2 linked regions of the Notamacropus eugenii genome follow. The protein of the gene in region 1 purifies or fractionates together with the protein of each later gene. This does not show direct contact. Links are inferred from orthologs where the notes say so. Each region holds a gene or a part of one and is shown on either strand. Other genes may lie near its edges.

Region 1 (7,213 bases):
GGGACACAAACACAATAAATGAAATAATCCCTACTCCTATAGCATTTATAATCTGACAACATGGATATATTTAAGTATAAAAAAGAATAAATATAAAGAGAATAAATAAAAAAAGTAATTAACTACAAGGTAGTTTGAGAGAAATGGCATTAGCTGTTGAGTGGATTAAAAAAAGCTTCATGCTGAAAGTGGTATTTAAACTGCATTTTGAAGAAAAGAATTCTGTGAGGTAGAAATGAGGAGTAAGTGCATCGCAGTCATTGCGGACAGCTAGTGCAAAGGTATGGAGATTGGATATGGAGTATCACGTGTAAAGAACAGAGAGGAAGGCCAGTCTGGCTAGATCCCAGAAGTAATGTACCATGTGGGTGGAAAAATAGGTGGGGGTAAGGTTATGAAAGGTCAAGGCTGTAAACCTGGAAGACTGAAAGAATGATGATGTCTTTGACAAAAACTAAGACATCAGGAAGAGGGATGGGTTTGGGGAAAAGGATAGTGAGTTTTGGATGTGATGAATTTGAAATGTCTCTAGAAATCCAGTTTGCTTAAAAAATCAGTAAGTATTTATTACTACGTACTAGGCACTATGCTAGGGGATAGGGGTACAAATACAAAGAATAAACATGTCTATGCTCAAGTTGCTTACATGTATATGATATAAATATTGAAGTGTTCTTCAATACCTCTAGCATTTGTCTCCTCCTTTCACTCTGTCCATCACCCTATTTAAAACTCTCCAAAGCTGCCCTACTGAGTCAAAAAGATTCAGGTGCAATTATCATCTCTGACACATAAGAGCTGCATAACCATGAAATTAATTAACCCCTCAGCAACTCAGAATTGCCCATCAGTACTGGTGGAAGAAATTTTCTCAAATTCCTTACACAGATGAAATCAAAGGTCAAAAAAAGCCCAAGATCCTCCATAATGTAGTTCTCACTACAAGTAGCATCCCCTTCCAGACTCATGTCGCACTACTCCCCTTCACACATTCATAGACTCCTAAGATTTAAAGCTAAGAGCATTTATTAAGCATTGTGCGCATGAGACACTGAGCTACGCACTGAAGATATAAAAACAAAAGTGGAACTTTAGTCCCAGCTGTCAAAGAGCTTACATTTAAATGAGGAAGACTAAATGTATACATATAAGTATAAACATAACACATAGGGAATGAGTACAAGGTGACACTAGCATCTAGGAGGATAATAAAAAGCTTCATGTAGAGGAAGCTCTTGAACTGAATTTTAAAACAAGCAGAAATTCCAAGAGGCAGAAGTGATAAGAAAGTGTATCCCAGGTCTGGCATGTGCAAAGGCATGAAGATGGGAGACTGAACAGATACCTAAAAGTGAAAAGACTTGCTGAAGACTACATAGGGAGTAGGTGTTCGTGGGAACTGGGAAACAAACCCAACCATTTTTTTTTTTTTACCACAAATTCAATGAGACATTTTACAGGCCAACAAAATGACTTACTCCATTTTTTCCATACATATCCCCTGCTTTCTCACTCACTCTCTTCATTCTGGAATGCTCTTCCCTTGCATCTTTCTTTACCAACTGAACTCCTAAAAAGTCACTAAGGCCCAGTTGGAAAAACCTTCTCTAACTCTCTTTCCTGTTCCAGCATCATCCTCCCCAAAAAAAAACCAGAACATTTTGCACCTGGGAACGAATTACAATGTTGCCAAGTACTTGCTACATTACACCGGGTAAATCACTTGACTTGTCTGAGGCAAAGCAGAGACTTCACTTTTTTTTACTTTTCTCTGGATCCCCAGTACTTAGCGCAGTGTTTGAAGCACTTCATAGATGCCTGCTGACTGAACCTATTTCCTCATCTCCAAGGCAGATAACACAACCTTTTAACCTCATGTCTTGCATTGTAAAAGGGTTTTAGGTTTTTTTGGCCCTACCTTAGTCTTTTCGTATAGATATTTTAAAGGGCAGACAACTGGTAAAAGTGTAATGCGCAACTTTTTATATATTATTGAATTTTTTGGAAAATATTTCAACTTCGATGGGAAACCAAAAATGACACGATCATCAGGCCCATGTTGGCACCCCTCGCACATGCTTCCATTTCGGTACCTATTGTTTCTCCGTCTTACTACGCGACTGTGTTAGCTTTCTATATGAAAAAATCCTTAAACAGAAAAATATTAAAGTAAACTTGCTTTCTAATGAAAGATAACTTTTGACCTCTATGTCAATGTTTATTTTTGCAATGTTTTTCAGAAGCTTCTTCAGTGGATTGTGAGGAGAAGTGTTTGAGTTCATTGTGCTTCTCCCAGAGACTGGAAAGGTCCCTTCCCCGGAGAGCGGCTCTGGGGTATCATCATAGACCTGGAGCTGGAGGGGAAACTGAGGCCCGGGGAGGCTGGGGCGCTGTTGCGGGGGAGAGCATCCCCCGTCTTTCACTTACCTCCCCCACTTTGTTGGCTAAGGCAATGAGGTCCCTCTTGGGAGACCAGGCCATGAAAATGATCTCCTGGGGCAGCTGCTTCTCTCCCACCTGTCTGAAGGCCGGCATCGCGGGAGTCGGTCCTGCAATGACAAACCTCCCTCTTCAAACTGGACCGCGGGGTCCGCCAGACTCCCGAGGCAGCCGCCTCCCGGCCCCGCCCCCTCGCCTCCCGCGCAGCCGCATTACCGGGCAGGTTCGCTCCGTGGTGGCGCCAACCACGGCCGCGGATCCCGTGTTCCGGAGCGGAGCCGGCCTCGAGAGGCACTTCCGGGGTTGGAACTTCCGGCCGGAGCGCCATGCGCGTGCGCGATGTGGGTGACGCAGCGGCTCCAAGTGGCCACTCTCCCGGCCTGTGTAGAGCCCTCTTTAAGTCAGTTTCACCCCTTACCCTCGAGGAGCTTCCAGTCCAACAGCCGAGGAAACGTCACCGCTCGTGTGCGGAGGACCCGTCCTTACAGTCATGGCAGCGATGACGAGCAGCGCCTAAGATAAAAGGAGTGAAATCTCGTCAGTTTCCAAAGGAAGCCAATTACGGTGAAATAATTAATAAAACATTTTTTCTTTGAAGTTCGTGAGCTCCGGGGGAAGAGCTTGTTGTAGAAATCATTGCTGCTGTTTGATTATTTGCACCCTCCGGCCACGCAGCGAGCCCCTTGGGATTCCTTCTCGCTGGGGTTCAAGCTGTAGGGAAGCTTTTATACTTTAATAGCTGCTTTTTCAAAAACTGGAACAGCCCGGACCATGTGCTGTGCAAAGGGCAGGCTGCAGACCACTATTCTAAATAAGGCAGGCAACCTCATATTTTATAAAATTTCGCCCCATCTCTCCTAAAAACGAAGGCTTGGTTTTCCTAAAGCCCCGTGCTTGGACCTGGAATGCTCTGTCTTCTCCACTCCTCCCGACTAAAATCCCCCAGGAAGGCTTCCCCAGCCCCTCTTGATTTCGGTACCTTCCAGGTGCTCCTGAACATAGTTTACTCTGTGTGTGTGTGGGCACATATACATATGTGTGTATATGCACGTATATATATAGGTGTGTGTGTTTGCATGTTGTCTCCCACCTGAGTTTGTAAGCTACTTAAGGGCTGAAACTTTCTTTTGTCTCTTTCTGTATCCCGGGTGCTTAGCACGATGCCTGGCATACGGAAGATATTTAATAAATGCTTATTGAATGAGTGAATTATGCCATCATTCACCATCTTCAACGTTGAATGTCATCGCATGTCAAACTCACAAAGTGTTGAGAACTGTTAGGTGCCTATAAATCTGCTGAAAGATGTGCCTTTTCCAAAATAACAGAGTATATGAGTTAATAGGATATTCCTTTTGGAAATTCCATGTAACTACGGTATGTAAGGAGGATTTTGTTATCTTTTTTAGTTTAGTTTCTCAGGGTCTATGGCCATGGGAATGTCCAGTTTCCAAGTGTTACATAGTAACTGCTAAAAGTCTCAAGAATTCTAGATTGTAGTTCTTAGAATCATACTGAGGCTGCACCGTGAGATAGGGGAGTGACAGAATTGATATTTACTACGATTGTGCTGAATGACAATGTTGCTAAAGTTAACTTGTGAACTTCATGTTGGCATGATGCCTTCTTTGTCTGATTGCCCTATAAAGCAGGTGGGCACTGGTGGGGGGGGGGGATTTCATGTCCATGGGGGAAAACCCCAGGGAACCCATAGGGGATTCTGTGTGTGCCTCAAGGGGCCCCTCACCGAGGACTGAGGGGAATTAGGGAAGTGCACAAGTGTGCCTGTCTGGATTGACCCCATTGAGAAGTAGTTGCCCCACCCCTGCTTCTTGCCAGCCCCTCCGAGAAGGAGGGAATGCTGTAGGAGCTGGTTGTCCCACAGCCCCTCTAAGAAGCCTAGAGGAAAATAAAGCTGATTATTAGTCCCTCCAAAGCTGCCTGCCTGTCTGACCAGATCAAGAGTGAACCTGTTAAGAAGCTGGAATCCAAAAACTCCAGTGCCTCCTGGGTGTTATCTGTGAAACAACTGCCAAAGTAGCTTGCTTTTAAGTACTACTGGTGAGTAGGGTGATTAGGCATATTCTAGTGGAGAGGTTCTTAACCTTTTTTGTGTCATGAAAGCATTTGGTAGTTTGGTAAAAATCTATGGATCCCTTATAGAATAAGGTTTTTAAATGCATTAAATACAAAAAGTATAAGGGAGAGTATAAAATTACATAAAGATGTAATTTTCCCCCATCCAATTTCAAGGACTCTCTCAAATCTATCCCTGGTGGATATCTTGGTGGGGGAAGTCTATCAAAGACCTCAGTTTAAGAACCCCCTAGTCAAGAAAATGTTCCTTCTACCAAAGTAATGTGGACTTTCAAAAGCCTTAATTGGACTAAGCACATCAACAATAAGTTTAATGTATGTATAATATGTATAAATTAATGTTTAATATGTCCCATGCATGAGAATGCCCTTTGTCTTGAAGTGAGACAGAATAAAAATCTCTAGCCTCTTCTCCTCCTACTCCCAAGGCAGACTTGAATTTCTTTCAAAAGGGAAAGCAGGAACTTGGGGCCAGAAGCTCAGTTTACTATTTTTGAGGTGATAAACAAAGCACATTGGGGAAGAATTGCCATGGTGAGTAAGGTTTCTTGCAGGAGAGAAGCAGAAAGTTTTGTTATCTGAAAATCAATCTGCTTCCCCCAAATTAAACAATCAAGAGGAGTTGTGAGGCTTCTAGGACTATTTACATGACAACGCTGGAGTTGTTAGACTGGAGAAAAATTTTTGAGAATTTTAAATAGTTCAGGTCATCAACAAGAATTGTGAATAAAAGTTACCTCTTTAATGTCAGTTTTATTCTTAGTATTCGTTTTGGTAGTCAAAGGGTTAAACTGCTGGAGCACTGAGATAGGAGAGAATTTTTAAATTTTTTATTTCCTTTTATTACTATTTGGGGTGGGGGGAGAATGGGGTCAGGACTGTTTCTCCTAGTTAGTTTATTGAGCAGGCTGAAGCCTATCTCATAATATGTGAAATTTTACTTAAAGCTTGAAACATTCCTCAGAGAAGCAGAAAAAGGGAGTCATGGCTTCTGGAAGTAATTTGACTTAACTCATTTGAGGGAGAATTCACTTGACTATAGGCATGTAAATCTCCCCTCTCAATCAGCCCATTTCGAACCCTTTAAATGTGGTTTAATTTGTAATCTGACTTAATTTACTTATAGAGTCCGTTTAACTAGGTTTGTCTCCTTAGGCGATGTAGGAGAATATAATTCTGCTTAACTGAATTTAAGTTTTATGACCTTGCATGAGGCATAGGATTATGAATATGTATATATTTTTTAAAATTTTTATGGCTTAAGAGGATGTATGAGATTGCTATATGTAAAAGAATTATTTCTCTGTCTCTCTTATGTAACTTTGTCTATAAAAAGCCTTGTTAGAGTCCTAATCTTTGTTCGGGGTTATTTTTTTTAAGTCCTGAACCCGTGCTTAAATGTAATAAAACAAGGTTTTTACCTTTATAATTCCTGCGTTATGGTAGATTTATTTCAGCAGCAGTAACTTACCCCATGAACTCAGAGGAGATATTTCTCCCATAACAATCAAATGGAGTCAGGCTCCCTGGATATAAAAGAGAAGCCCTCACAATGACATTTGTAAAAACCTAGGTAGCTTTATTTGATGTGTCTATCTATCTATCTAGACAGACAGGGGTAGCTAGATGGTGCAGTGGATAGAGGGCTGGGCCTGGGCTAAGACTCACCTTCCTGAGTTCAAATCTAGCCTCAGACACTAGCTGTGTGACCCTGGGCAAATCACTTAACCTTGTTTGCTTTAGTTTCCTCATCTGTAAAATGAGCTAAAGAAAGAAATGGCAAACCACTCCACTATCTTTGCCAAGAAAACCCCAAATGGGGTCAAAAAGAGTCGGACAGGACTGAAAACCATTGAACAATCTATCTGCCTTTGGTCTTGAATTGTGATTTCATTAGCGTAAGGAACTCCAGTGAGGAAATTCCATCTACCAATGAAGAGCTGCAACTAACTCTTTTAGGACATTTTCATCCTAGAGAATTGCCTGGGGCATTAAGAGACTGAGTGATTTGCCCAGGGTCACACAAACATGATGTGTGACTGATCACACCAGGAAGGGTTATTGTAAGGATCAAATAAAATGTTTGTAGAAGTGTTTGGCACTGTGCCTGACATATCATAGGTGTGATCTGTATAAATGTGTATTCACTTCCCTCTACTGACCCTTAATGCAGTCTGAAAGAGGTGCAGAATCCCAAAGGGCAACACAAGAAAACCTCCAGACAGAACAAAATTGGCAGAATGGAGTCTTTTCCCTGAAACCAGGACCCAGTTTTTCAACACCATAACTCTTCTGCTTAGGCTATATGACTGGAAATGATGCAGCCTCTGAAGAATTAAAGACAGAGGTCACCCAAAGAGCAATGGAGAAACATATGGTGGGTGTGAGTAGAATGCAACTAGGAATTACATGGGAGAAGGGGTGTAAAAGATGCTATGGGATGACCAGAAGAGCAGCAGGGTCAGTCGTAGCAAGATGGCCTGTGTGTTCCACCAGTATCCAAGCAGTGTCCTGCTTAGACTAAGCATGTTTGAAGGAAGTCATGTGACTTCCATTACGTAGTAGACTGGCTCTAGATTGAAAGTCAGAAGATCTAGGTTTGAACACTGGATCTGCCGCCGTACTCTCTGGGTGAACTTGGGCAACTTTGCTTCTCACTTTCCTTGTATGTAAGGTG
Region 2 (7,261 bases), on another chromosome or scaffold:
ATCCTAGACTTAGACATATATATATATATACATATATATAAAATCGGTTGGGGTTAGGGATTCTCACCTGATTCTAACCAATTCCATCAGATTATCTATCTATCTATCTATGCTCCCTTACATTTATCTTGTCTAACAAGACAATAAGAGCAACTTGGTATTCTTTAGTCAGTCCTGACTGTTAGTTGACTTGGGGATGTTTCAAACCTAATACCACACCTCTCTCTTGGGCTATTTCCCTGATGAATTCTTCGTAAAATATCTTCGAAGTAGATGCCAAAAGTGCATGTTCCTTTAAGAACTAACCACTTCTTACCCACTCCCTAATCCCTCCCTGAATCACTATTTGCATATTTGGCACAAGTTATACTGTAGAACATCCTATATAAACTTTCCCTGTACCCCTCTAAGGTTGCAGGTTCCCTAAGAACTTTTGCCCACTGAAAAGCATCAAAAATCTTAACCTTGAGCTCAACAATACTTGAGTTCACAAATTCTTCTCCAGATGGCCTGTGCAAGGAGCTCTAGCCTTGGAGTTCCTGTACCACCCCTCATCAGCATCTTCAGCACCTGGCACATATTAGGCACTTAATAAAAGCTTATTGTTTGAGTACAGACTGTTGTTTGGGAACAGAGATGATAAAACCACCTCTTAATCCTGCTTGCTTTCTCTGCCAAAAAGACTGATCTTTGAACTGGAAAATTAAACAATAATGGCTAAAAGGAAGTCGAAATCAAGATAAATAAGCACCCACCTGCCTTTGATGAGTTCAAGTCATGGGGTCCAAATTAACTGCATCAGAGGGTGTTGAAAGAACTAGTCGATGTGATTTCTGAGCTATTGTCAGTGTGAGTTTTGAAACTGTGAAGAACTGGAGAGTAACTGCTGGACCAGAAAAGAGCAGAAGTTGTCCTGAAGTTCAAAATAGGGGGAAATGAATGAAACTTGCAAACAATAGACAAGATTACAATTCCCAGCAAGATTGTAGAACGTATTATTAAAGGGACAGTTGGTGAATACCTAGAGAAGAAAATGATCAGGGCACTGCTGGGAGAGCGCTCAATTGGTCAAACCCTCCTGGAAAGCAATTTGTGCCTATTTCCAAGAGTCATGACCTTTGACCTGGCCAAGCCACAAAAGAAATCAGGGAAAGGCCTCACCTACAAAAATAGGGCAACTCTTTTTCTCACAGCAAAGAACTGGGAACAAAAGAAGTTCCATCCATTGATCAAACCAACTATGACATATTAACGGAATGGAATATTATTTCCCTGTAAAAAATGATGAAAGGGATGGTTTTAGAGACTCCTTAGGGGAAACCTGTATAAATTGATAGTGAAGTGAGTAAAGCCAGAAGTGTGTAAAGTAGCAACAACTACGTAGAGAAAACTTTGAAAGGCTTCCGAATGCTGATCAATGCAATGAGGACGGATGATGAAGCCAGCTATCTCCTGAAAAACAGGGGTGATGGCCTCAAGGTGCAGAACTATACATGTGCTTTGAAGTACAACAAATGTGCTGATATTTGTTGCTTGACTATGCTTATAACAAGTTTTGTCTTGTTTTTGTTTTAATTTGGAAAGAGGATTTGTTTGAGAAAGGGGAGTGACCTGTAGAATTACTTCCTCCTCCCCCCAAAAAGGATCATTCAAGTATTTTCTAATGGACAGAAGGTAACAGTAGAAAGTTCAGAAGGAAACATACAAACAGGATAACTTTGAATTTATTATGAACTTTTTTTAAAAAGCAAGATCTATAAAATAGATTCATGTTTTCACATATAATTTTTTTCTCTTCCTTTTCTATTCAAATAGCCTCTTTTTTAAAAGTATTGGGTGTGTAACACACCACCCTGGGCTCACTCCTCCAGCCCATACCATACTGGCACTGTCAGATTGGGTCTCCAGAGGTGTGCCTACTAGGATTGCAGGATTTGAAGGCTAATTGTGTGGGTGGCTACCCTAACATAAGCTTCTGAGCCCCAACAGGTGTGCTTTCCCTTTCCCTCAGTTCTTTAGCAAATAAATTTTGCTCAAATACCTTAAAAAGGACAGTAGTTAAGAAGTACATTCCCCAGCACCAGGGGTACAGTCTCCCACAAATAAGCCCAGCCTCCAAAATTAGGAGAAGATTGGGCATAAATTTGAAATACAATAATAGCAAAGGACATGTATAAGGAATATGCATGGCCAAGGCAATTAATAGCACTGGATTTGCTAGACTGATATCCTTCTTCTGAAGGGTCCTCATGAAATTCGATGTGGAACATGATGTCAGTAACGAGAGTTTCTCTGCTACTCTCCTGAGATGGTTCCTCATAGGGATTAGCATCTACGGTAAACAGGTGGCTTATTTTTCTAAGGTGCAGTGTCTGGACTGGCCAGGCCAATATGTTCCTGGGTAGGTCCAGCAGGTCACTTGGCAGCTGTGTGCCTGGCTCCTTGCCAGGCTTGGCTGCTGCCAGGCTGGCTACACGCTAGGCAGGCTGCTTCACCACAGGACAACAGAAGCCTGAAAGGGGAGGGGTAAATTCATGAAAACAATAATAACAAAATGGTAGAGCTGAGCCGTAACTTCAGACATCATCTGGTCCATCCCCGTCCAGATCATGAATCCCAGCTACAGCACTCAGCCATTTAGAAAGCATCTTATGTCACAGACACTGTGGGATACAAAGACTGAACAACGTCTGCTTTCAAAAAGCTTCCGCGGGAGGCAGAGCCAAGACCGTGGGCTAACAGCAAGGACTTGCTAGAGCTTTCCTCCCAAACCCAGCCAAATACCTGTAAAATATGACTCTAAACAAATTCTGGAACTGCAGAACCCACAGAATGACAGAGGGAAGCAATCTCCAGCCCATGACAGCCTGGGACCTTACTCTCATCGCACTTGGTTTAAGGAGGGAATAACATGCACACTCAACTTGGGATGAAAATCTTTCTCAAACTACAGTAAAGTAGAGGGAAGGGGATAAGAGGGGGGTGGGGATAAGAGGGGGGCGGGGTTGAGAGGTGGGGTGGGCAAATGGGAGGAGGGGGTAATTAGAAGTAAACACTTTTGGGGAGGGACAAGATCAAATGAGAGAGTAGAATAAATGGGGGGCGGGATAGGATGGAGGGAAATACAGTCTTTTACAACATGACTTTTATGGAAGTCCTTTGCATAACTACACATGTATAATCAAAATACTGAATTGCTTTCCTTCTCAGTGGGGATGGGCGGGGAGGGAAGGAGAGAAGTTGAAACTCAAAGTTTTAAAACTGAATGTTAAAAATTGTTTTTACATGCAACTGGGAAATAAGAAATACAGGTAATGAGGTATAGAAATCTATCTTGCCCTACAAGAAAATAGAGGAGATGGGGATAAGGAAAGGGAGCGGTGTGATAGAAGGGAGGACACATGGAGGGAAGAGGAAATCAGAATGCAAGGTATTATGGGGTGGGGGGAGGGGAGAAATGGGGAGAAAATTTGGAACTCAAAATCTTGAGGAAAGCTGGCGTTTCATATTCACATCTGTTGCCCTTGGCCTAGCCTGTCTGTTACCATTGTCTGTTACCTCCGGATTGCCCCACTTGCTTCCCACCCAAACCCTGCATTGTCCGATATCTCCCAATTGCTTCCAGCTGTTTCCCAGCCTGGATATGTACCCCAGTCCCATCAAGATCCTCCTTAGACCCTCCTCCCAGAGCACAAGACCACCTTTGGAAAGTTTCCTCCTCCCTTCATGAAGGCGCTGCGATTCAGTCCAGCTCAGACTCGGTCTAGCTGGGATTGTGTCTGGCCCACTTGTGAATACAAGTGTTACAAATGCTTAGGCTCCTTAGGAGTCGACCCAGTATGGTGAATCTTTAATGAACTTTGCTTTTCTTTGACTTTAAGAAGGCTTGAGTTGAACTCATTTGAGCAGGACCCAGTGTGTGGGTATTCTGGGGTCCCCAGCACCCCTCCACCTCAACAACATTATAGATCAAATCAACCTCTTACAATATTCTAACCTGTCAAAAACTACTCAGGCTCTTCCTTTCATTTTCCCCTTTGATCCTACAGTCGCTCACAAGGAGTCCATTTCCACGTTCATGAATTCTGAAATCCCACTAGTAATTGGTTGTTGTTTGCTCTGCTCTGCAGTCCCTTACCCTGCTCTTTATTTTTACATGACCTCTAATTCCTTCATCTTTCGGCTTTTCTTCCCAGGCCATCCCCCTGCCCTGGCTGTATCCCCCTCCTCCTGCACCGTTCTCTCGAGTCTTCCGTCCCCTCATCCTGTCTGTGATCCTGCCTGCCAGGCCCCGCCTTGGGTCGCCCCTGCCTCTGCTGCCTCTACCTGCACTTTTTGTGATGGATGAAGGCAGGATCGTGGCGCTGCGCTGCCGGGCACGTGACAAACATGAGGCTGGACTGAGGAGCAGAGCGCATAGGGAAGGGTCGGTCCGGCCTCGGACGCTGAGGGGACGCCAAGGTGAAGCCTGTGAGAAGACAAACATCTGGTGGTGGGAGGTGACCGGCTACTTTGATGCTTGTGGCTCAGTGGGGGGGGGGGGGGGGGGCAGGAAGGCCCCTGCAGGGTTGGGGAGGGGAGGGGGGTGACTTCACTCAATCCGGCTGACACTGCGGGGCGTCCGTCGGGGGGAGGCGGCGGGGCTCCTGCTGTTTAGGGGGGCGCGCTCTGGGCCCAGCGCTCTACATGTCATTAAAACCAATCCAATTCTGATGGCTTCGTGGCGGTGGCTGGGCAGCCCTAGGAGCCGGCCCGGCTCCGCTTCTCGGTCCGGACAGCGAGGCTAAAGCATGGAGGTGACAGGACAGCGGCCGAGAGGGAGCGGGAGCGGGGGTCTTCACCCAAGGGGCCGCTTGCGGGGTCCTCGCTGCGGGGGCAGACCACGCCGGCGGCCCCGCGCGCTGAACCCACGGGGTCCGGAGCCGCTCCGAGCGGGGGCTTGGCTTCTTCATCGGTTCTGCCCCGGTCCACTTCGCTGCCGGGCCGGGGCTCGGAAGCCGCCTGGGAGAAGCGAGCGTGCGGACAGGGAGGGCGCTGCGAAACGCGGGCGCTCTGGGGGAGCAGCCCTGGAAGTGCGTGCGTGTGCGGGGTGCGGGTGTGTGCGGGGGTGATGTAGAAAATGTGTGTGACTGTTAACCCTGGGAGCGTGTACGGATCACACACTCATACGCATGTTTTCCGTATTCTATATTACATGTGCAGTTATGTGCATGGATTCATTAAAGCCGGAGGCACACACATGTGTATGTATGAATGTACGCGTGCGTGTACATGTGCGTGCGCGTGTGTGTAGGTGTGCATGCACGTACGTGCGTGTCCCGCACCCACGCGGTCCGCTCGGCCCCGCCCAGGCAGTGACCGCGCCAAGGTCACCGCGTCTGACGGCGGGGGAGGGAGGCGGGGCGGACTTCGAGCCGGACCCTGTGACGTCATCAGCTCTTTTTTCTGATCTTAGTTCAGACAACATTTAAAACTTGTAGATGGACTATACGCAGATGTGTACAGACATATTTGACACACATATATATGGAAGATAATACATATACACACATATATACATATGTATGTATATCCTGGAAATGTGCGTAGGTGTCTGTATGTGTACATACGTTTGTCTACATATATACACTTGAGAACGTGCGTCTACATGAAACCTGAACAGACACATCTGCGCATGCGTGTCACGCACACACGCCCGCGCAGGAAGACCCCACCCTCCCGCAGTGGGCGGGGCTGGGAAAGGACTTCCGGGCGCAGAAAGACGAGCGCTCCTGCGCGCTGTTCCCCACGTTAGGCCTTAGGTCCTTCAGCGCAGGCGTAGTTTTTCTCCTTGGTGTCCTCGGGCACCTGGCATAGTGACTGGCACACACCACGTTTCATAAACTTACCGACACTCGGGCATTCGTAGGCCGGCCCGGCCTCTCCTCACCCCCTCCGCCTCCGCCCAGTTTGCGGGGCGCCCCGGGACGCCAGGCCGCGGCTCTCCAGGTGCGACAACCAATCGCCTGGGAGTTGGGGGGAGGAAGAGGGGGAGGAGAGCGCGCACGCTCAGTGTCGGGCCCTGCCACGTGAGTGACGCGGAGCGCTCCCCGGCCCTTAACCCCGCCCTCCTTTCGAACGTCCTGCCGGGATCGCCAAGGAAACGCATTCTCGGAGGAACTCGCAGCCAGCCAATAGAGGGCGAAGGAAGGCGACGAACCAGCCAATGAGCGAGGAGCTGCGCGGGGTTTAAACTTGAGGCTGGGCCGCGGCTCGCCACTGCGTGCTGGGACGAACGGCTGCTTGCTCCGCCGGCGCCGGGAGCTGGGCTGGGGCGGGGGGGGCGCTCTCTGTCCCCGTTCATTCCTTCGTGTGTAGCCGCCGCCTGCAGAGGTGCAAGCCATGGCGCTCCGTGTGACCAGGGTGAGGACCCCCCTCCCGGCTACGAAGGGGGGCTGGGGGCCCCGGAGGGTCCTCGGCGTCGGTGCAGGGGGGCAGGCGCACGAGGCTGCCGAGGGCCGGGCGACCAAGGCTGGAGGCTTGTCTGCGAGAAGGTCCGGCCCGGGAGCGGAGGGTGGGACGGACAGACAGACAGCCCCCCTTGTGTCCCCGGGAGGGCTCCCACTCACCGTGGGGCCCGGCCTCCCCCAGCCTGCTTTCCCCTTGTCTGTGTTGGGGGTGGGCGCAGGAGCACCGAAGGGAAGGGGGGGCCTGGGTTTGTTCTCCGTGACCCAGTAATGGGGGGAGGGGGTCAGGTTTGGGGCCTCTTTGGAGCCCGTGGTTTCCGGACTTGCTTCCTGCTGCCTCCTTTGCAGCGATACACTTGTGACCGTTTTGTGTTTTCGGGGTTCCCTTTGCAGAACATGAAGCTCAACGCTGAGAACAAAGTGAAGGGCGGTGTCCCCGGTGCCAAGAGGGTGCCTGTGCCCACTGCCGCCTCCAAGCCTGCGCTGAGGCCCAGGATGGCCCTGGGCGATATTGGCAACAAAGTGTGTGAGCCCCAGCAGCCCCCTCCGTCAAAAATACCCCTGAAAAAGGTAACTCCCTCACTTGGCTGCACGGGAACGGGCCTTCCTCTTCTAACTGCCAGTTCTCATTTATTTTTCTTCCCTTCTTTCCAGGAAGCCAAAGCTCCCATAGCAAAAGTAGCTGCCAAAAAAGCCCCCAAACCAGTGGAAAAGATGCCTGTGCCTGAACCTGTTAAAGAAGACAAACTGACTCCTGAGCCTATTAAGGTAATTGATTCCTAAAGATATGTATTTTTGCAGATTGAAGCGTGCTG

Evidence for each region. Proteins that work in one complex are often made in the same cells at the same time.
Region 2: the proteins of ANAPC4 (region 1) and CCNB1 purify together in Homo sapiens (affinity purification with western blotting; 3 studies listed by BioGRID). This does not show direct contact. The link is inferred for Notamacropus eugenii from reciprocal best matches to the Homo sapiens genes ANAPC4 and CCNB1.

What each region holds. Positions count from the first base shown.
Region 1 is NC_092877.1:78,210,328-78,217,540, reverse strand, and holds the start of ANAPC4 (anaphase-promoting complex subunit 4), read right to left. Parts: upstream 3,027-7,213; 5' UTR 2,768-3,026; coding exon 2,656-2,767; intron 2,550-2,655; coding exon 2,428-2,549; intron 1-2,427. UniProt on the Homo sapiens protein: Component of the anaphase promoting complex/cyclosome (APC/C), a cell cycle-regulated E3 ubiquitin ligase that controls progression through mitosis and the G1 phase of the cell cycle.
Region 2 is NC_092875.1:474,473,798-474,481,058, reverse strand, and holds the start of CCNB1 (G2/mitotic-specific cyclin-B1), read left to right. Parts: upstream 1-4,202; 5' UTR 4,203-4,340; coding exon 4,341-4,499; intron 4,500-5,729; exon of another isoform or gene 5,730-6,381; coding exon of another isoform or gene 6,382-6,402; intron 6,403-6,839; coding exon 6,840-7,016; intron 7,017-7,100; coding exon 7,101-7,214; intron 7,215-7,261. UniProt on the Homo sapiens protein: Essential for the control of the cell cycle at the G2/M (mitosis) transition.